Linked DNA regions of Arabidopsis thaliana. Each later gene encodes a partner of the first gene's protein in a complex. Each region holds a gene or a part of one and is shown on either strand. Other genes may lie near its edges. The genes, in order: EIF3A, TIF3B1 and AT4G20980.

Evidence for each region.
Region 2: EIF3A (region 1) and TIF3B1 share a complex: the UniProt entries of both Arabidopsis thaliana proteins name them as parts of the eukaryotic translation initiation factor 3 (eIF-3) complex.
Region 3: EIF3A (region 1) and AT4G20980 share a complex: the UniProt entries of both Arabidopsis thaliana proteins name them as parts of the eukaryotic translation initiation factor 3 (eIF-3) complex.

Annotation. Positions count from the first base shown.
Region 1 is NC_003075.7:6,946,915-6,954,443, forward strand, and holds EIF3A (eukaryotic translation initiation factor 3A), read right to left. Parts: upstream 5,566-7,529; 5' UTR 5,460-5,565; intron 5,197-5,459; 5' UTR 5,140-5,196; coding exon 5,094-5,139; intron 4,988-5,093; coding exon 4,506-4,987; intron 4,418-4,505; coding exon 4,202-4,417; intron 4,069-4,201; coding exon 3,700-4,068; intron 3,612-3,699; coding exon 3,582-3,611; intron 3,493-3,581; coding exon 3,265-3,492; intron 3,150-3,264; coding exon 2,988-3,149; intron 2,872-2,987; coding exon 2,650-2,871; intron 2,560-2,649; coding exon 2,353-2,559; intron 2,272-2,352; coding exon 2,065-2,271; intron 1,976-2,064; coding exon 1,895-1,975; intron 1,739-1,894; coding exon 1,537-1,738; intron 1,432-1,536; coding exon 920-1,431; 3' UTR 562-919; downstream 1-561. Other genes in the region: AT4G11410 (NAD(P)-binding Rossmann-fold superfamily protein), read right to left, coding at 167-272; AT4G11430 (hydroxyproline-rich glycoprotein family protein), read left to right, coding at 5,885-5,914, 6,699-7,328. UniProt on the Arabidopsis thaliana protein: RNA-binding component of the eukaryotic translation initiation factor 3 (eIF-3) complex, which is involved in protein synthesis of a specialized repertoire of mRNAs and, together with other initiation factors, stimulates binding of mRNA and methionyl-tRNAi to the 40S ribosome.
Region 2 is NC_003076.8:9,780,494-9,787,084, reverse strand, and holds TIF3B1 (translation initiation factor 3B1), read left to right. Parts: upstream 1-1,796; 5' UTR 1,797-1,894; intron 1,895-1,909; exon of another isoform or gene 1,910-2,301; 5' UTR 2,302-2,325; coding exon 2,326-2,435; intron 2,436-2,685; coding exon 2,686-2,923; intron 2,924-3,020; coding exon 3,021-3,245; intron 3,246-3,518; coding exon 3,519-3,647; intron 3,648-3,822; coding exon 3,823-3,951; intron 3,952-4,038; coding exon 4,039-4,122; intron 4,123-4,193; coding exon 4,194-4,318; intron 4,319-4,424; coding exon 4,425-4,623; intron 4,624-4,729; coding exon 4,730-5,262; intron 5,263-5,348; coding exon 5,349-5,457; intron 5,458-5,542; coding exon 5,543-5,878; 3' UTR 5,879-6,075; downstream 6,076-6,591. Other genes in the region: AT5G27650 (Tudor/PWWP/MBT superfamily protein), read right to left, coding at 1-59, 425-1,574; ACBP5 (acyl-CoA binding protein 5), read right to left, coding at 6,305-6,484. UniProt on the Arabidopsis thaliana protein: RNA-binding component of the eukaryotic translation initiation factor 3 (eIF-3) complex, which is involved in protein synthesis of a specialized repertoire of mRNAs and, together with other initiation factors, stimulates binding of mRNA and methionyl-tRNAi to the 40S ribosome.
Region 3 is NC_003075.7:11,215,063-11,220,225, forward strand, and holds AT4G20980 (Eukaryotic translation initiation factor 3 subunit 7 (eIF-3)), read left to right. Parts: upstream 1-1,818; 5' UTR 1,819-1,934; coding exon 1,935-3,710; 3' UTR 3,711-3,725; exon of another isoform or gene 3,726-4,006; 3' UTR 4,007-4,116; exon of another isoform or gene 4,117-4,318; intron 4,319-4,505; 3' UTR 4,506-4,576; downstream 4,577-5,163. Other genes in the region: AT4G20970 (basic helix-loop-helix (bHLH) DNA-binding superfamily protein), read left to right, coding at 197-328, 428-793, 1,076-1,150; ACA4 (alpha carbonic anhydrase 4), read left to right, coding at 4,710-4,800, 4,898-5,112. UniProt on the Arabidopsis thaliana protein: mRNA cap-binding component of the eukaryotic translation initiation factor 3 (eIF-3) complex, which is involved in protein synthesis of a specialized repertoire of mRNAs and, together with other initiation factors, stimulates binding of mRNA and methionyl-tRNAi to the 40S ribosome.

The DNA.
Region 1 (7,529 bases):
AAAGTTTAATCCTTTAGTCCATTAACAGATACCAACAACAACTTGAGTTCAAGGGCAGGATCAAAACCAAGAAATTAAACTATAGACTGAACATAGATCATAAAAAAGTTGAAAACATCTGCACGAAGAAGAAGAAGAAGAAGAAGAAGAAGAAGAAGAAGAGGACCTGTGACGATAGCAGTGAGACCAGTACCATCGATTCCATGAGTGACTTCTTCAGCTGTGGAACGAGCAGAGAACCCAGATGCTCCTTTCCACCAAAAAGGCCACATGTTTGTTTTGTTTCTATCTTCTGTACCACAAAATTAAAGTCTAATCTCAACCAAACCAACGCTAGCTGATGATCAAACACACACCCTAGTAAAGTTGACCAATTATAAAATTTCTTTTTCCGAGAGCTTTTGCAATGTGCCCATGCTCTGTTCTCAAAACAAGGCACTGAAGAATCTCGTATAAAAGTATTAATTACAGTTTCATTTGTTTTCTTCCTTAATCCAGAGATAAGAATAAAGATGTTTGTATACACTATTTACATTTTTGATACAAATGTTGTTAAATGTGAAATTTGGTATTCGTTTATTGTTCTTCATAAACTAATAATAAGCAATTAACAAAAAGTTTGCTTGAAAGAGAAGCTGATCAATGTCAAAGGTTTTTACAGCAGAAAGTTGGAAATAAATTGGACAAACAAAGAAAGATCCAACCGAAGAAGGAAATAACAACTCTCTCTGGGTGTGTAGAGCAAAAAACGAGTCTAACATGTTTTAAAATCTTTCATAAAAACTTATAAAAGATGAGCAATCTTCAAAAGAAGAAGAGACAGGTTTGGGCTAAAGAAGAGTGCTGTGATGTTGAAAATCCAGAGATAACCTTTTTCATTCATTCCCATGGAGATTGAGACCAAAAAAATTATTATTACTCAACGCTGTGTTGGCCTGGGCCTGGAGCTTCCAAATGTGGATCGGCGATCATCACTGCCTCTAGGACCAGAACCCCAACGGTCTCCTCCTTCAGCTGGAGGTCCAGATCTTTCCCTATTACTAGTCCACCGGTCAGTATTCTGAGCGGCTCCTCTGTTGCTTCCCCAGTGGTCATCTCCGGGAGGCGGCCCACGGTTGGACCGTCGGTCAGTTTCTGATGATGTTGGTGCTGATGGGCCTGAGACCTCAGTAGTCTGGCGCTTCCACTTCGGAACATAAGGTGCTGCTGGTGCTCCTGCTGCTGCTGCTGCTGCTGCTGGTGCGGTAGTTCCAACAGGAGTAACAGTAGGCTCTGCAAGGCGAGCAGGTGGTGCATTAGTTCCTCTCAACAGCTCTTCTCGTTCCCGCCTACTTTTCTCTTCCAGCTCTATCTCTCTCTGCCTTTGCTTCTCAAAAGCTTTATCCAAGTTTGCTTTGCGTTCAGCTTCTACCTTCTTGAGCCTCTCAGCTTCTACATTAGAGGAAAACCCAAAAAATAAACAGAAACAAGGGGTTATTAAGAAAAACTTCAATATCAAAGTCAAAATGATGTGGATTTATGGAAGCAAGTCCACACCTTCCTGCTTGCGAGCTTCCTCTTCTTCCTGCAGCTTCCTAATCCTTTCTTCTTCAATTTTCAAATAATATATCTGCTTCCTCTTGATATCCCTTTCTTGCTTCTTCTCTCGGATTATTTTACTGATACGCTCCTCTCTCTCCGTCCTGATTCTGTCAAACTCTGCTTGTCGACGACTAATCACTTGTGCTTGGAATATTTCCTGGGCACAGAAAGATTCGATTATAAGTACATTGGAAGGAAAAGTTACAGGAAAAATGTAAGAAACTAGAGAGCTTTAAAATTAATTCAATAACGAAAAGAGATTCAGATCAAAGATGAACATTAAGAGAAACAACATGACATGTCAAAGACTGACCTTATTACCCAACATTCTGGACAACCTGTTCTTCTCCTTCAAGTCACTCTCATGACGCTCTTTACTGAGTTCAACTTCACGCTGCATAGGAGAAGAGCTTTTAAGACCTCATATACTTCCAACACAGAACCAAGTTGTAAGAAAAGAAAAACTACTGAAACAGTAAGTACCTGTTGTTCACGCTCATAAAACTCTCTTTCCTCTACCAGTCTTCGCTGATATGCAGCTTCAATCAATGGAGCAGCCTCTTCTCTCTTTGCTCTTTCCAAATAATCCATCGTTTTGGCAAGCTTTTGAAGCTTCTTCTCCATTTCTTGCCTTTCCTTGAGCTGCTCAGTTAAGGCCCTTTCCTTCACAGATTGCTTTGTCACCTTCTCCTATATTTAGTTTAACCCAACCGACATTAGTAATAAGTTAATCAGTGAACTATATAATAGCTAACATATTGGTAAACTTACTCCGTCTAAAAGTGGCTTCTTCTTTCCCTTTTTCATGCGCTTCTCTGTCTCTTCCAGTAAAGCTTGGGCTTCTTCAAGCTCCTTCTCCTCTATCTCTCTAAGGATTCTTTGTTTTCTTCTCTCTGCAAGCTCTGCTGCAAGTCTCTTTTGTTCTGCCTCTTCAGTTAGCTTCTGAAGCTTAAGCCGTTTCTGCTCCTCTTCACGTTCCTTCAAAAGTAAACATCAAATAAAGGAATTTTCATAAACAGGTACAGCGTAAAAGGAGAGCTGTGCAAATAACCATGGAAAAGTAACTACCATTTCTAGTTGCTGACGCTCTTGATCCTCCTTCCTCTTTTCAATGATTGATTTACGAGCAAGCAGTCTTTTGTGCTCTTTCTCAACAGTATCTGCTAAATTTGGTATAACGCCAGCTAGTTTTGATGCTTTACTTGGGACAGGATACAGCATAGCTCTTACTTTGCTCAAAGACTCGGCAAAAACAGCCAGATGATCCCTCAGTCCATCAGACTCAATACCCTAATATACAAACAGTTGATCAAATAGATTAGTATTTAGTCAATAAGTTAAAAATTATATTACTCAACTACATATGATATAATCAGTGTTGAGCTGAAGCTTTAACAGAGGCTTACCAAATTTCCAAAAATTACAACACCCTTCATGTGATCAACTTTCATGGCAACAAAATTGTTCTTCACAGCATCAACAGAAATCTTCTCTACCTCTGAGAATTGAAAGAAGGGTACCAACTGAGATAAACTCTCAATTCTTATTGTCTGATAAATCTTAGACACCTGAAAATAAAATCGGAACATAGAACATTTAGTATGCAGAAAAAGGGATAAACCACCAGAAAAATCCAAAATGGTTGAATGGGTATTGACCTACAACATAGAGAACAAGGCTTACCTGTTGAAGTAGCCTCAGAGTAGCAAGCTTCTCCAGAGAAGGAACATATTGGGAAAGTTGCACTTCTGGTAAAGAAGGAGCTGAGGACAGTTTCCCACCAGATTTGGAAATCTTTTCCAGCAAAGGCTGAATCTTGGAGCCAAGATCAAGTGGGTGAAATTCATGCTCCAAAACATGGAAAAGATCTTTGACCTCCTGAGATGCACAGCTCAAAACACCTTTTGAAACCTAATTGCATAAAAATCAGCCTCCAAATCAGATATTTGTAAGTCGACAAATATTCTAAACCACAGACAGGGTAACAGCTAGAGACTCACCAGCTCTGACAGAAGAGCTGACCGGGAAAGCTGAAACAGGAAGGAAATGGAATTAGAATACTAAACCAGAAAGAAAGGGCGCAAAATAAAAATGAAGCAACATAAGAACCTATGTTACCATATCTTTGCCCTCAAATTTAGGTTCAAGATTGAATCCAATGAGGTTAGCCATCCTCAAATTGCGTTCTTTCTCATTTTCAAGTTCCATATGGGATGCGCTCTGAGCCCGATCAAATGGTGGAATGGACAATGCCGCCAAGACAACAGATGACGCTATTAGCTGCAAATCCTTTTGGCTTAAATTCTTGTTGAAATTTTTCTGCAGACTAAACAGCTTAAACCATGCATAAGCATGATAAAGATGGCTAGAAGAAATCCAGAAGATCTCAGTCAATTTGGAATAATAAACCATCAATAAAGATGACTTGGGCGTTTTTTTGACCATGCACATTAATCCATAGATATCTTCAACAGAGCGAAAAGCTTCCTGCAAAGATACATCACGAACCATACTAACTTATTTCCAGTAATTATACAGAGGATAAGCTATATACAGCCAAACTAAATATGGAATAGAGAAGGTAGCATCAGAAAAATACACATAGAAAACAAAAACGCACCTGCCAAAGTCCAAGCTCAGTAGCAACTTTCAACTGATCAAACCTTGTGTCCAGATACAGCTGCAAGCTCTCAGGGGCTGATAAGTCAGGTCGGTCCCTTTGGTCTCTGTACTTGTTCAGGTTTGCCAAATGATTTCTTATAATTTCACAAAGCCTACGGAACTCTGTTGTTCGCTTGTACTGCTTACAGAACTGGAAGGCTTTATGTGCTGTCATCTACAAGATTATAAAGTACAAGTCTTCAATCTCAATCAACTTAAAATCAGAGGTATCACCAATAAGCTTAACCTAGAAGAAAACAAACCGCATAAAGTGCTTCCAACTTTGAGTTGTTTCGCAATATCTCAAGGACTGTCCTGTATGTCTCCCACAGAAACTTAAACCATGGGGTGACCAACTCACGGTCAGACCTATCTTTTCCCTTCTCCCCACTGACAATACTTAGCTGTAAATCCTCAGGCTTCCTATCAGCTTCAAGGTCATCAACATCAAGAGCCTCCTCAAGGGCATCCGCCTGAGACCGAGCTTGCTCAGCTTTGTCAGTAGCAAGATGTAGGAAGTGCTTGATAACTTCCTCCAAGGAACTGACATTCACTTGCTGGCAAACAATACGATACTGAATCAATCCATCCTTAGCGAATCGACCCCTCTTCAAGTCAACACAAAGATCAAGATACTTAAACATGATCTTCTCAAGCGGTTTCTGCCAAGCTCTGTATCTCTTGGAAGTAATGAGATCATGAAGCGCCTGAAGAGCATCTTGTTTCTGTCCAACATTGATCAATTCTACACACACAAAAAAAAAGTGTTTAACACAATCTCAATTCATACACACCCTAACCACATCCATTTGACCAAATGGATGTTAAAACGAAAACATTTCGTAACTTACCATCAGCACGCTTCAACGCGTTCTCTGGTTTGGCAAAATTCGCCATGTTTCAGACGAAAAAAGCTAGTAACAAACTCTAACGCAAGGGACACTCTCAATTAGCCTGAAAAACACAGAGAAGCGATTTTGTTACAGAGATCACCAGAATCCGAAAAACCCAATCAGATATCTCAGAAAAGGATGGAAGCTACATAGACCAGAAAAAACTTGCCCAAACCCTAAATTCATTTCATAGAATCAAAATAACACAGAAAGATTCGATAACCTGACCCAAACCCTAACCCAGATCAATTCAATGAGATTTGATTAAAAGGCAGTAGAGATCCAATCACTGATGCAAGAACAGAGCCGAAACTTAGGACTAACCTTGTAGCCGTGAAAAGAGAAGACTGATAAGAGAGACGAGAAGCGAAGCGGAAGCAACTCTAGGGTTTCTGGTATTAATATTATCGTTCTACATATATATTACCCATATTTGCAGAAATCATCCTATTTTCTTACGGTTTCGAAATGACCCCGTTTTATCTTCTTAGTGTTTATAAAACCCAATTTGTCTAATACTGGGATGTGATTCAATTGAGATCAACAAAATTTATGGATTTCATTTTCGAATTATCATTTACAATATACTCTCTATATTTTGTTTAATAATATTTTTAGCAATTAACTTTGATATTTCTATATTATTAACTAAACATACATTTAAGTAAATAGCCAACAACATATTAAATATTACATAAAATGCCACTACAAAAATTCATTTCAAAAAAACAATTGATTTACATAAAATCATGAAAGGTAAAAAATTCAACTGTAAAAGGGTGTTATTGGTTTATGATTTCAAAAGAGTTTTAATGACTTAAAGTGTAATATAGAATCTGATGTTATTCAATTAAATTTTTTTTAAAGTATAATTGTGTTAACCCGCTTTAATATTTATAATTGGGCAATTATAAATTCATATAAAAAAAATTAATTATGATTATTGCATTTATATAAAAAAATTGAAAATTTGAATATGATTTTTTCTATTACAAATAGGGATTGTTAGCTTACTTTTAACTGTTTTTTTCTTAATTATACTAGGTAAGTAACAAGAGTATAAGAACATTATACAGTTCAAAATATATATTTAAGCAAGGCATTGGAAATATGTGATGGAAAATTAATATAACAGATTATTTTTGAATTATTTTACTATCGACGTATTTTTTTTGTCGGAACTGTCGCTCACGATTTGCAATAGAACATAGCCATATGTAATCATTTTGATCTATATTTTTGAGTTACTCCAAGATTCAAACAATTTAAATTCCGTTATAATCTACAATTAACCTTCCATCCAATTCCAAAATCAACAATATTTTAGCCAATTTGTGCGATGATCATGAATTTGTTTTGTTAAATTCATTGATTTTCTAGAATCCAACATGTACATAAAAAAAATTAGTGGAAATTGATATATTTTTTTGGGAAATTTGCAGAAATAACTAACAAAAAAACTATAATTCACTAACTAACCATCCTAACTATGTAATTATAATATTCTCTGTATTATATGTAATATTACTCAATTTGCCCTTGTTGCCTCAATACCTTCAGTAGCAACCACCACCGCTGGCCACCACCGCCGGCCACCACCGCCGGTCACCACCGCCGGCCACCACCGGTCACCACCACCGGTCACCACCGCCGGCCATCACTGCCTGCCACCACCGCCGGCCACCACTGCCTGCCACCACCGCCGGCCATCACCGCCAACTTCGGCCACCATCTATTCCGGTCACCACCAACACCGGTCACCGTCACTGTCGGCCACCATCAAATCCGGCCACCACCAACTCCGGCCACCACCAACTTCGGCCACCACCACCACCGCCACCACCACTGTCGGCCATCACCACCACCGGCCACCACCACCACCGCCGGTCACCACCACCACCACCACCACCACCACCACCACCGCCGACCATCACCCCGCCGGTCACCACCACCACCGCCGGCCACCACCACCACCGCCGGTCACCACCACCACCACCACCACCACCACCACCACCGCCGACCATCACCCCGCCGGTCACCACCACCACCACCGGCCACCACCACCACCGGCCACCACCACCACCGCCGGCAACCACCACACCGATCACCAACACTTCCGACCACCATCAACTCCATCCACCACCGCCGGCCACAACCATCACCACCACTACCATCTCCAATCAAAAAGACTAATTTAGTAAGTTTACTACCCTCTAGTGTTAGTTTCTACATTTTGTATATTATAGTGTTAGTTTCTTAAATAAATTATCAAAAACAGTTAGTTTTGCAATTCACCCATATTTTTTTCTCGTAAATGTTTTTTTATTGATCGAAAGTCTACGGCACAAGGTATTCTTACAAGACAATATTTTAAGAGCTAACAAAACGAATATA
Region 2 (6,591 bases), on another chromosome or scaffold:
TTTAGAGCTCTTAAGGTCACCTAGCGTTTCTGCTATGACCAGTGGGCCACTCAAGGGAGCTGGAAATAAGAGAAATTGAAACAACACATCACCCACCAAGAAAATGAACAATAAAGCAAACAAGGTAAATGTATGCGGGACTCTCCATAGTAGAAAGAGGCGCAGAATTGTTATCAGGCCACGTTTTCGAATGCACAGTTTAGCATCAATGAGACTTCACTATTCTTTCAAGCATGCTATGTAAAGAATTCAACTACAAAGATATAAATCCTAAAATCATGAGCACAGAGGATCTAAAAGTAAAACCCTAAAACCAAGTTACAGTATCTAATATCTATGTAACACATATGAAAGCTGTTTCAAGTCTACAACGAAAAAACCCATATACAAACAATAACATGATTTTCTGAAAAGTGGCTAATACCTCGAGGCGGTGCTCTATTATGAGGTTCCAGCGTACTCACTGAACTGCGGGGTGATTTTGTCCCAAAGGCCTGTGCATAAGTTTCATCAAACTCCTCAAACACTGACTTGCGGAAAGCAAAAACCACTGCTTTCTTCTTCATAAACTTTAAACTGTCTGGATCACACTCTTGAGGTGCTAACGCCAATTGCTTCACAAACGAAATGGTTTCAGCGGGTAAAAACTTATCCCTAGAATTCTTAATCTGATCAACAGAGTAAACGGCTTGAAGCTCGTAATCAGGCACATCAACAGCAAAGTAATCTTCCACATTACTAGGCCTAAAGTTATAAGGATTCCGACATTTACAAGTCAAACCAAGAGCTGACCTTCTACTCGCCTCATCCTTGGCTTCCTCCACAGCTCTCACAAAATGCTTCGAAACCGTCTGCTGTGATTTCTCCTCTAAATTCGGTTCGAAAGGAATAAGCTCAGCAGGATCAAACCAACCATAACTACTATCACCGAAAAACGCAACAAGAACATGATCAATCCTCCTCATACGACGAACAGAAGGAGACGCAAAAGCTTCATTGAATATATGACCAGGCCACCAAGGATGAGACTTTACCTTTCCCCAAACCAAATCTCCAACTTCAAACCCATAACTCAATGCCCTCGAAACTCCAGAACCCATTTTCTCACTTGCAACATAATCATCAAACTCAGATAAAAGAGATTTATAATCCGAAACTCCTTTTTTCTCTTCCTTCAAACCCAAATCTAATTCCTTCTCATCAGCTTCAGAACCAAGCTCACTAGATTGATCATCAGAGCCATCTTCTTCTTCTTCTTCTTCTTTAACCTCAGAACTCTCATCATCCTTATCAATTAAAACATCCTCGCTTTTAATCTCATCTTCCTCCTCACTCCCTACGACACCATCTTTCTCCGATCTCTCACTTTCGAGAACCCTAGCGTCATTTGTAACCGCCGAATCTAGCTCCATAGGTGAAGAAGCTTCAACATCATCATCAATGGCTTCGTGAACATCCCCGCTCGAATCAACTACAGTATCATCTGGAGTTACCTTAGGATCCTGAATCGAATCCGTTTGTTGAACAATCACAGCATCCTCGTTCATCACCGGGATTAATTTAGTTTTGTACATTACAAATCGATAAGAACCCTAGCAACAACAACAACGATCCTCCGATGAGAGATTATCCGAATTTGGTTCTCGAGGACACCAAATGAAAGAGACGGATTATTGTTAAAAAAAAAAAAAAGCTAATCGAGAGAAAGACAATAAATTAGATCTACTGATTACTATTGAATTGGGCTTACCCGGCCCATATAAATATTTATAAGCCCGTTTAAGGAACCGACGTCGTATGATCCAAAAAGACCTGAAAACAATCGCTCCTTCTTCCTCACCTTCAAGCGCCGTCTTCTTCTTTGTTTTTTGCTCTCGGCTGATCTCTGTATTGGGTACGTTTCTTATCTCGATTTCAGTGTTCATTTGTTTTTTTTGTCTTTTCTTATGTAGCTATGAGACAGGATCCAGAACGATGCAATAGATATAAGAGAGCCTTCAGGAAAATTTTGCCATTTTTCTCCATTTCACCTGTTGTTGGGTTCTAGATTAAATAAAACTAGAGTATAGTTAATAATTTCTATAGGCATGGTTTTAGATTTACATTATAGTGGGAGTGATGATTCAAAGTTTTAGTCTTTGAACATTTGGCCATGGTAGTTTGTTGTTTTAATACTTGTTTAGGGTTAACAAAAAACCTACTTTTAGATCTAAAGACTCAGATTTTTCACATTTATTTATCGACTTAAAGTTGGAATGTGTTAAAGACTGATAGCTCTCTCTATATGGCTTTCTTTGGCAGATTTTTGATATAAGGTTTGAAATCATGGAGGTCGTTGATATTGATGCCCGAGCTGCTAAGTTAGGGATTGATTGGTCTCAGGTTAATTTTGATTCCATCCAACTTCCTCCTGGAGAAGACTTTGGGATCGAGAGGTGAGATTTTCCTTTAGATCTCTGGTTGTTCATATACGGTCACTTCTATTTCTAATCTTCTTGTGTTTATACGATGGGATGATTTTATTCTAGGTTTTGCTATTGTATGTATGAAAATTTTGTGTATTTCGAATTGGTTTATCTCTTTCCTTGATGGTGCAAAGCTTATTATATTTATACATTTTATCTATGAACGTATGAAAAATGGAACTGATTCGTTATACACTTTTTTTTTCTGTGATGGTTGTAGTGATGATGAAGCTGTTTACCAGGATGACCAGTCTGAATTCGACACTGGATTCGGTAACATTATCGTGGTCGATCACCTCCCTGTTGTTCCCAAGGAGAAGTTTGAGAAACTTGAAGGTGTTGTCAAGAAAATTTACAACCAGTTAGGTGTGATTAAGGAAAATGGACTGTGGATGCCTGTTGATCCCGATACCAAGATGACATTGGGCTACTGTTTTATTGAGTTCAACACTCCTCAGGTTATTTATCTACTTGATTAGCTTAATCTCTGTTTTGTTGGATTCTGAAGCAATAATGTCGGCGTCATATGTTTCAATACTTTATTTCTCTTGTTAGAAAGGAGCCCAAACTAGGTTGTTCTTAATGGTTGAGTATTTCCTAAGAGTTTCTCTCAATGTCTGGGGCTCTTTGCAGGAAGCACAAAACGCTAAGGAAAAGTCTCATGGCTACAAGTTGGACAAGTCTCACATCTTTGCTGTAAACATGTTCGATGATTTTGACAGGTTGATGAATGTGAAGGAGGAGTGGGAGCCTCCTCAGGCCAGGCCCTACGTCCCTGGGGTATGTGTAGTTTTCATCATGTTACTCCCTGTACCTTGAATAATTTTCTTTGAATAACTTCCATTGTGTCTGTGTAATCACTTCTTTATTTTGGTAATTCGCTGATTTATTTTGTGTTTGCCTGCTGCGTTAGGGTTAGGATCTTTTTACGTAATTGATGTATACTAACTAATAACTATAATTTCATAACTCTTGTTTCATGTATATATTTTAATTCATTGCAGCCTTTTGTGGTGCTAATTGTCGTTACTTATATGGTGTTTGTTTTTTCAGGAAAATTTGCAAAAATGGCTTACTGATGAAAAAGCCCGAGACCAGCTAGTCATTCGTTCTGGCCCTGATACTGAAGTTTTCTGGAATGATACTAGGCAGAAGGCGCCTGAACCTGTTCATAAGCGTCCTGTAAGTTACTTCCTGTGTGTATATCCCTTTTGTTTACTTGACTGTTTAGAGCAATGTATATGTTATGTTACCTTCATTTGAATTAATATCCCTTATTTGTTTACTTGACTGTTTAGAGCACTTTTATATGTTATGTTACCTTCATTTGAATTAATGATGTTCTCTTCCTATGCAGTATTGGACAGAGAGTTATGTGCAGTGGTCTCCTTTAGGTACATACCTTGTGACACTCCACAAGCAGGGGGCAGCTGTTTGGGGTGGTGCTGATACATTCACGCGTCTCATGCGTTATCAGCATTCTATGGTTTGAATTTCCTTTCAATTGCTACATATTACTTCCGTTTTTCCTCTGTTGGCCTGAAAATTGCATCTTTTGTTGATTATGTTTTAGGTAAAACTAGTTGATTTCTCGCCAGGTGAGAAATATCTTGTAACTTACCATAGCCAAGAACCAAGCAACCCGCGAGATGCAAGTGTGAGTGCATCTTTTCTTCTGTTCTTTTCAACTTTTACTATTTGTGACGCTGAATTCTGTCAAACTTTCAGAAAGTTGAGATTAAGGTTTTTGATGTGAGAACCGGGAGGATGATGAGAGATTTCAAGGGTAGTGCTGATGAGTTTTCAATTGGAGGACCTGGTGGTGTTGCTGGTGCCTCTTGGCCTGTTTTCAGGTAATTCTTTCAACTGCATGTCAATGTCCTAAAAATAAACAGCCAATATTATCATCTTCTCCACTATTATGGACATATGTTGATATCTTGTAAACTTTTTCTACAGATGGGCTGGTGGAAAAGATGATAAATACTTTGCCAAGCTTAGCAAAAACACTATCTCTGTCTATGAGACTGAGACTTTCAGCCTAATAGACAAGAAATCCATGAAGGTAGATAATGTTGTGGATATCTGCTGGTCTCCTACTGATTCCATCCTTTCATTGTTTGTTCCTGAACAAGGTGGTGGAAACCAACCTGCGAAGGTATGTTTCTATTATTTCTGATGTACATGAAAAGCTCTGAATCCTTAATTTGCTTCTGTTTCTCTGCCTGGTGTTTTGAAATTACATGTTGATATCCCTTCTTCAGGTTGCCCTAGTCCAAATCCCGAGCAAGGTGGAGCTGAGGCAGAAGAATCTCTTCAGTGTGAGCGACTGCAAGATGTACTGGCAGAGTAGTGGAGAGTATCTTGCTGTCAAGGTTGATCGATACACAAAAACTAAGAAGAGCACATACTCTGGATTTGAACTTTTCCGTATCAAAGAAAGGGATATTCCCATCGAGGTTCTTGAGCTGGACAACAAGAACGACAAGATCATTGCTTTTGCATGGGAGCCCAAGGGTCACAGGTTTGCTGTGATTCATGGTGACCAACCAAGACCAGATGTCAGTTTCTACTCAATGAAGACCGCACAAAACACTGGAAGGGTTTCAAAGCTCGCAACTTTGAAGGCCAAACAAGCTAATGCCCTCTTCTGGTCGCCCACAGGCAAGTACATAATTCTTGCTGGGTTAAAAGGTTTCAATGGCCAGCTTGAATTTTTCAACGTGGATGAGCTCGAGACAATGGCCACAGCTGAACACTTCATGGCCACGGATATCGAATGGGACCCGACTGGAAGGTCCTACTGTCTTAACTAAACCAGTCCTTTGGTTGTTTCTATTTGTTCCAATTGCTGATGTTGTTTGCACTTTTTTATTTTCAAAGGTACGTTGCAACCGCAGTGACATCAGTCCATGAGATGGAGAATGGGTTCACCATATGGTCTTTCAACGGGATTATGCTTTACCGGATATTGAAGGATCATTTCTTCCAGGTATGTAACAAGAAAAACTCGGTCTTAAACGAGCATCGTCCATTCCGATGTCTAATAAAATATTTGTGTATGGTTGGTTACACAGTTGGCTTGGCGTCCAAGACCTCCATCATTCTTGACTGCAGAGAAGGAAGAAGAGATAGCAAAGACCCTGAAGAAGTACAGCAAGAAGTATGAGGCAGAGGATCAGGACGTGTCGTTGCTGTTGAGTGAACAAGACAGAGAGAAGAGAAAGGCATTGAAGGAAGAATGGGAGAAATGGGTAATGCAGTGGAAGTCTCTGCATGAAGAGGAGAAACTCGTGAGGCAAAACCTTCGGGATGGTGAAGTAAGTGATGTGGAAGAAGATGAATATGAAGCCAAAGAAGTTGAGTTTGAGGATCTTATCGATGTCACTGAGGAAATCGTTCAAGAGTCGTAAGATACTCGGTCTCTTTTGTTGCCATCTCTTTGGATCCCTTAGACAATTTTAAATCGTGTTCGCTATACTTGGAAGATAATTTTTGGTTCCTTCATGATTGAAAATTTCGTTGTTAGTTGATGAAGTATGGTGCTTATCACATGTAATGGTACTAAATGGTAGAAAAATTACCAATACAATATAGCTTGTAGTGTAACATAATTACACACAAATCGGTAGAGCTTATATAGAAACTGAATCTTCAAATGGCAACTCATCAATCATACTGTAGTAGAAACAACTATAGACCTTATTTTCACTAGTAACAATGCGGAGACGCTAAAAATTGTCTATACTGTATTTCTCTCTTTTTCTTTCTTTCTAAAAGTAAATACTGATATTGGTAATGACAAAAAAGAGTTACCCGAAAAAAAGTTTCATGGGCACTCATGTTTTAGGCGGAGGAGTTCCAGCGAGCCAACCCCAGACGCCACCAGAGCTTTGTCGTTTGGCGTTCATGGTGGCGGCTTGTTCAGACGCAACGGCTCTTTGACGTTGGAGGAGTTCGAGTTCCTTTTGAAGTGTTTCCATTGTCTGAAGCTTTTGTCTTAGCTCTGCAACTTCAACCTGCGGGCACTTAGACCGAGTTTTGTTAGGATTTGGTCAACATCGGAGAGGAATGTTTCACCATCGAGATTCAAATATCAACCCAGACTTACTATAAAAGTGAAACA
Region 3 (5,163 bases), 4.3 Mb from region 1:
ACTTTTTTCCACTTTGTTTTGCTTTTTTTTTTTTTAGTCTTTGGTACATATATATTACAAACCCTTTTCCAGTAAATAGTTAGCACAAACTAATTATCAGATGTCACTTAAACCAACCTCCTTCTTTATATAAGCTTGGTTAACATTGAGTTTGTTATCATGGTCTATGTGAAACAATTCAGGAATAAAAAAAGAAATGGAGCCGAGCCATTCAAACACAGGTCAATCAAGATCTGTAGATCGCAAAACGGTTGAGAAAAATAGAAGGATGCAAATGAAGTCTCTCTACTCAGAACTCATCTCTCTTCTTCCTCATCATTCTTCTACGGTTTCTTCCTCTTGGCCCTCTTATATGCTTATATAATCTAAGATTCCATGTATGGGTGATGATCTTAATATTCTAAACTCTTTTATTATTTCATGTTAGGAGCCTTTAACACTACCTGATCAGCTAGATGAAGCTGCAAACTACATCAAGAAGCTACAAGTGAACGTGGAGAAAAAGAGAGAAAGGAAAAGGAACCTCGTTGCGACTACAACTTTGGAGAAACTGAATTCCGTCGGATCTTCATCGGTTTCGTCGAGCGTCGATGTCTCCGTGCCAAGAAAGCTGCCAAAAATCGAGATTCAAGAAACTGGTTCCATTTTTCACATCTTTCTTGTGACAAGCTTGGAACACAAGTTTATGTTTTGTGAGATCATTCGTGTTCTCACCGAGGAATTAGGAGCTGAGATCACTCATGCTGGATACTCCATTGTTGATGATGCTGTCTTCCACACCCTTCACTGCAAGGTATAATTCGGAAAGTAAAACATTTTTTGCAATGGAATTTAAGAATCAAACTTTGCTACTACTACTATGTTAAAACTAGGTCTAATCCAGCTTGTATACACATTGGGAATGAGTTCAAAGTTAGGGAATGATATTTATACTTGTTGTTTTTATATTTAATAAAACTTGCACTCAAAAACGCTAAGAAGCTGCATGTTCCCATCTGATTGTTAAGTTTCTACTAGCTGATTCCTATTAATATCCATATGTTAGTAAACTAAATTTAATTTATATTTTATATAGGTGGAAGAACACGATTATGGAGCTAGGAGTCAAATTCCTGAAAGACTGGAGAAGATTGTGAACAGTGTTCACTAATATTGATTCCTTGTTCCTTTATTAAAAAAAAAAGTTCTATGTTTTTGTTCCTTTTCTTGAATTATTTTTGGTGTTAGCTAGATTCCTTTTCTTGAATTGTATCATGTGCTGTGAGAGTGATGTTTCATTTGTAAGCATAATATATACTTTTCTCTACTTAAAGCTGTGAAATATATTTTGTTTTTTGGTATCAACAAAGCTGTGAAATATATGAAACTTAGGATGATGATTTTCAAGAACGAAACCAAAAAAAAAAGTTTCTTAGAATTAATACATGAACGAGCGAAATAACTTCACCTTTTTTCAATGTGTTATACTTGCCCAAGCATTTGTAATCTAGTGATAGGAGAAACTTTGGTGATAGGTGAAACTCTCAGATCCGAGTTTGAATATCCCGTGGTATTAGTTAGAAAACATTTAAATTCGGGACAGATAGTGTTGTGGTCCTTCGGGAAAAGTTTACTTCGGAGCACTTTGGTGCGTTTCTATCGAAGCTGACCAGATCAGCAAATAGAGTTTATCAAAAAAAAATGTGTTATACTATTTCAAATTGATGAATTTGAATTCTAAATTTTTATTTTATTTTATTTTTTTCTCAAAGTCAGAAATGAAAAACATGATTTAAGACTTCAAGTGTTATATATGGGTTTTGAAGAATACTAAAGCCCATGAGCCCAAACATTAACAAAAATGTTTTTTTCTTGTACCTTCTCTCTTCAACGTAGACTAAAGAATTAGGGTTTCCGCTTTCCACACACACAGCTGCAACACTATCTTCTCAGAAATGGTAACCGAAGCTTTCGAATTCGTCGCCGTTCCTTTCAATTCCGATGGCTGGGGACCTCCAGACGCTTCCGACGTTTCCTCCTCCGCCTCTCCCACCAGCGTCGCCGCCGCTAATCTTCTCCCGAACGTTCCTTTCGCTTCCTTCTCCCGTTCCGATAAGCTCGGCCGTGTAGCTGATTGGACTCGCAATCTCTCTAATCCATCCGCTCGTCCTAACACCGGATCCAAATCAGATCCGTCTGCAGTTTTCGATTTCTCCGCTTTCGCAATCGACGAAGGCTTCGGTCTCGCTTCCTCCGGTGGTAATCCCGACGAAGACGCAGCTTTCCGTCTCGTCGACGGTAAACCTCCGCCGCGTCCTAAATTCGGACCTAAATGGCGTTTCAATCCTCACCACAATCGGAATCAGCTTCCTCAACGGCGAGATGAAGAAGTTGAAGCTAAGAAGCGTGATGCTGAGAAGGAACGAGCTCGTCGTGATCGTCTCTACAATAACAACCGTAACAACATCCATCACCAACGCCGTGAAGCTGCCGCTTTCAAATCATCCGTTGATATTCAGCCGGAGTGGAACATGCTTGAGCAGATCCCTTTCTCAACATTCTCGAAGCTCTCGTACACAGTTCAAGAACCAGAAGATCTTCTTCTCTGTGGTGGCCTTGAGTACTACAACCGCCTTTTCGATCGCATAACGCCGAAAAACGAACGCAGACTCGAGCGTTTCAAGAACAGGAACTTCTTCAAAGTCACTACTAGTGATGATCCTGTGATTAGGCGTTTAGCTAAGGAAGACAAAGCTACTGTTTTCGCTACTGATGCTATATTAGCTGCTCTTATGTGTGCTCCTAGATCTGTTTACTCTTGGGATATTGTTATTCAACGTGTTGGTAACAAACTGTTCTTTGACAAGAGAGATGGATCACAGCTTGATTTGTTGTCTGTGCATGAGACATCTCAAGAGCCATTGCCTGAGTCTAAAGATGATATCAATTCTGCTCATTCTCTAGGTGTGGAAGCTGCTTACATCAATCAGAACTTTTCGCAGCAGGTTTTGGTTAGAGATGGAAAGAAGGAAACTTTTGATGAAGCCAATCCATTTGCTAATGAAGGTGAAGAGATTGCTTCTGTTGCTTATAGGTATAGAAGGTGGAAGCTTGATGATAATATGCATCTTGTTGCGAGGTGTGAGTTACAGAGTGTTGCTGATCTCAACAACCAAAGGTCGTTTCTTACTTTGAATGCTCTTAACGAGTTTGATCCTAAGTACTCTGGTGTTGATTGGAGACAGAAGCTTGAAACTCAGAGAGGTGCGGTTTTAGCTACAGAATTGAAGAACAATGGAAATAAGTTGGCTAAATGGACTGCACAAGCTTTATTGGCTAATGCTGATATGATGAAGATTGGTTTTGTCTCTAGGGTTCATCCTCGTGATCATTTCAACCATGTTATATTATCTGTTTTGGGGTATAAGCCGAAGGATTTCGCTGGACAGATTAATCTCAACACTTCTAACATGTGGGGGATTGTGAAATCCATAGTTGATCTGTGTATGAAACTAAGCGAAGGGAAGTATGTTCTTGTGAAGGATCCATCGAAGCCTCAAGTGAGGATTTATGAGGTTCCACCTGATGCTTTCGAGAATGATTACGTTGAGGAACCGTTGCCTGAAGATGAACAGGTTCAGCCAACTGAGGAAAACACAGAGGGAGCAGAAGCAAGTGTAGCTGCAACTAAAGAAACCGAGGAGAAGAAAGCTGATGATGCTCAAGCTTGATGGTTATAAAGTCAGGTAGTTCATACAAACAACTCTCAAATTCAAAAGGCGGTTACCATAATATGCTTGTTGGATTTGATTGAACACTTGTTTAGGATCGTGAATTTATACTTAGAACCCAAGAAAATGCAGAAAGTTGGTTCTTACTTCTTAGCCATAGAATCTTGTTCTTATTCATCTGAATTTCATTCTTATAGTTTAGAAACTGGTGACTTAGATTAATTGATGATCTTTATTATAAGTATAAACGTCGTATGAAGCATCGTCATTCACAATTTGGATACTATATTCTTCAGGTCCAAAGTCTACACCTTTCGTTTCTGGGTTCTTTTGAGAGTTGAAGCTTCAATCAAACAACAACAATGGAGGTTCCTTTTTTAATTATCTTGTCCTTTTTCAAATTTTTGTGGTACTGCTGTAATTTTAAGTCAGAAATGAGATTGTAGAACACTATCTTCGTGACATCTTTTGGAAAATCATTACGGATTGTTTACAGAACAGAAATCTTTTTACTATGACTCTTATAGCCACCAAATTTTCTTGAATCATTTTGCATTAGTTTTATAAAATTTGGTATTTTATGGTTCCAACTTTTGTTTGTTTCGGTCGTTTGGCGTATTCTCTTATGAGCTTGATCCTATTGTCCTGGTCGGTTTTTATCTCTGTTAAACTGACATAGATCCTATTGTCCTGGTCGGTTTTAATCTCTGTTAAACCGACATACTTCACATATATTTATTATTATAAACCCCAAATTAGAAAACTCAACCAAAATGGTTTTTACTAAGCATTCAGTTTTTTTTTTTTTTTTTTCATGTTTCCAATAGTAACATCAGATTATTAACTAATAATCGTAGCAACGGCAAAAACCATATCAGAACAGCAGAACAAACATCCCCCAAAAGCCTCCTCTTAAATAGGTTGTCTCTAAACCCTTCAATCTCCAAAACATAATAACATACTCCATTAAGCAAAATCTAATCTCGAAAGAAGAGAAACATGGATACCAACGCAAAAACAATTTTCTTCATGGCTATGTGTTTCATCTATCTATCTTTCCCTAATATTTCACACGCTCATTCTGAAGTCGGTATGATTACTACATCTCTATTGCATTCTAGTAAAATTAATCTTTTGTATCAAAATTCAGATTTAATGATTTGTTATTAACTTTAATCTGAAAACAGACGACGAAACTCCATTTACTTACGAACAAAAAACGGAAAAGGGACCAGAGGGATGGGGCAAAATAAATCCGCACTGGAAAGTTTGTAACACCGGAAGATATCAATCCCCGATCGATCTTACTAACGAAAGAGTCAGTCTTATTCATGATCAAGCATGGACAAGACAATATAAACCAGCTCCGGCTGTAATTACAAACAGAGGCCATGACATTATGGTACGTAAAACTTTATTATAGAATTCAGTTATTCTCACTTAACTATATTAT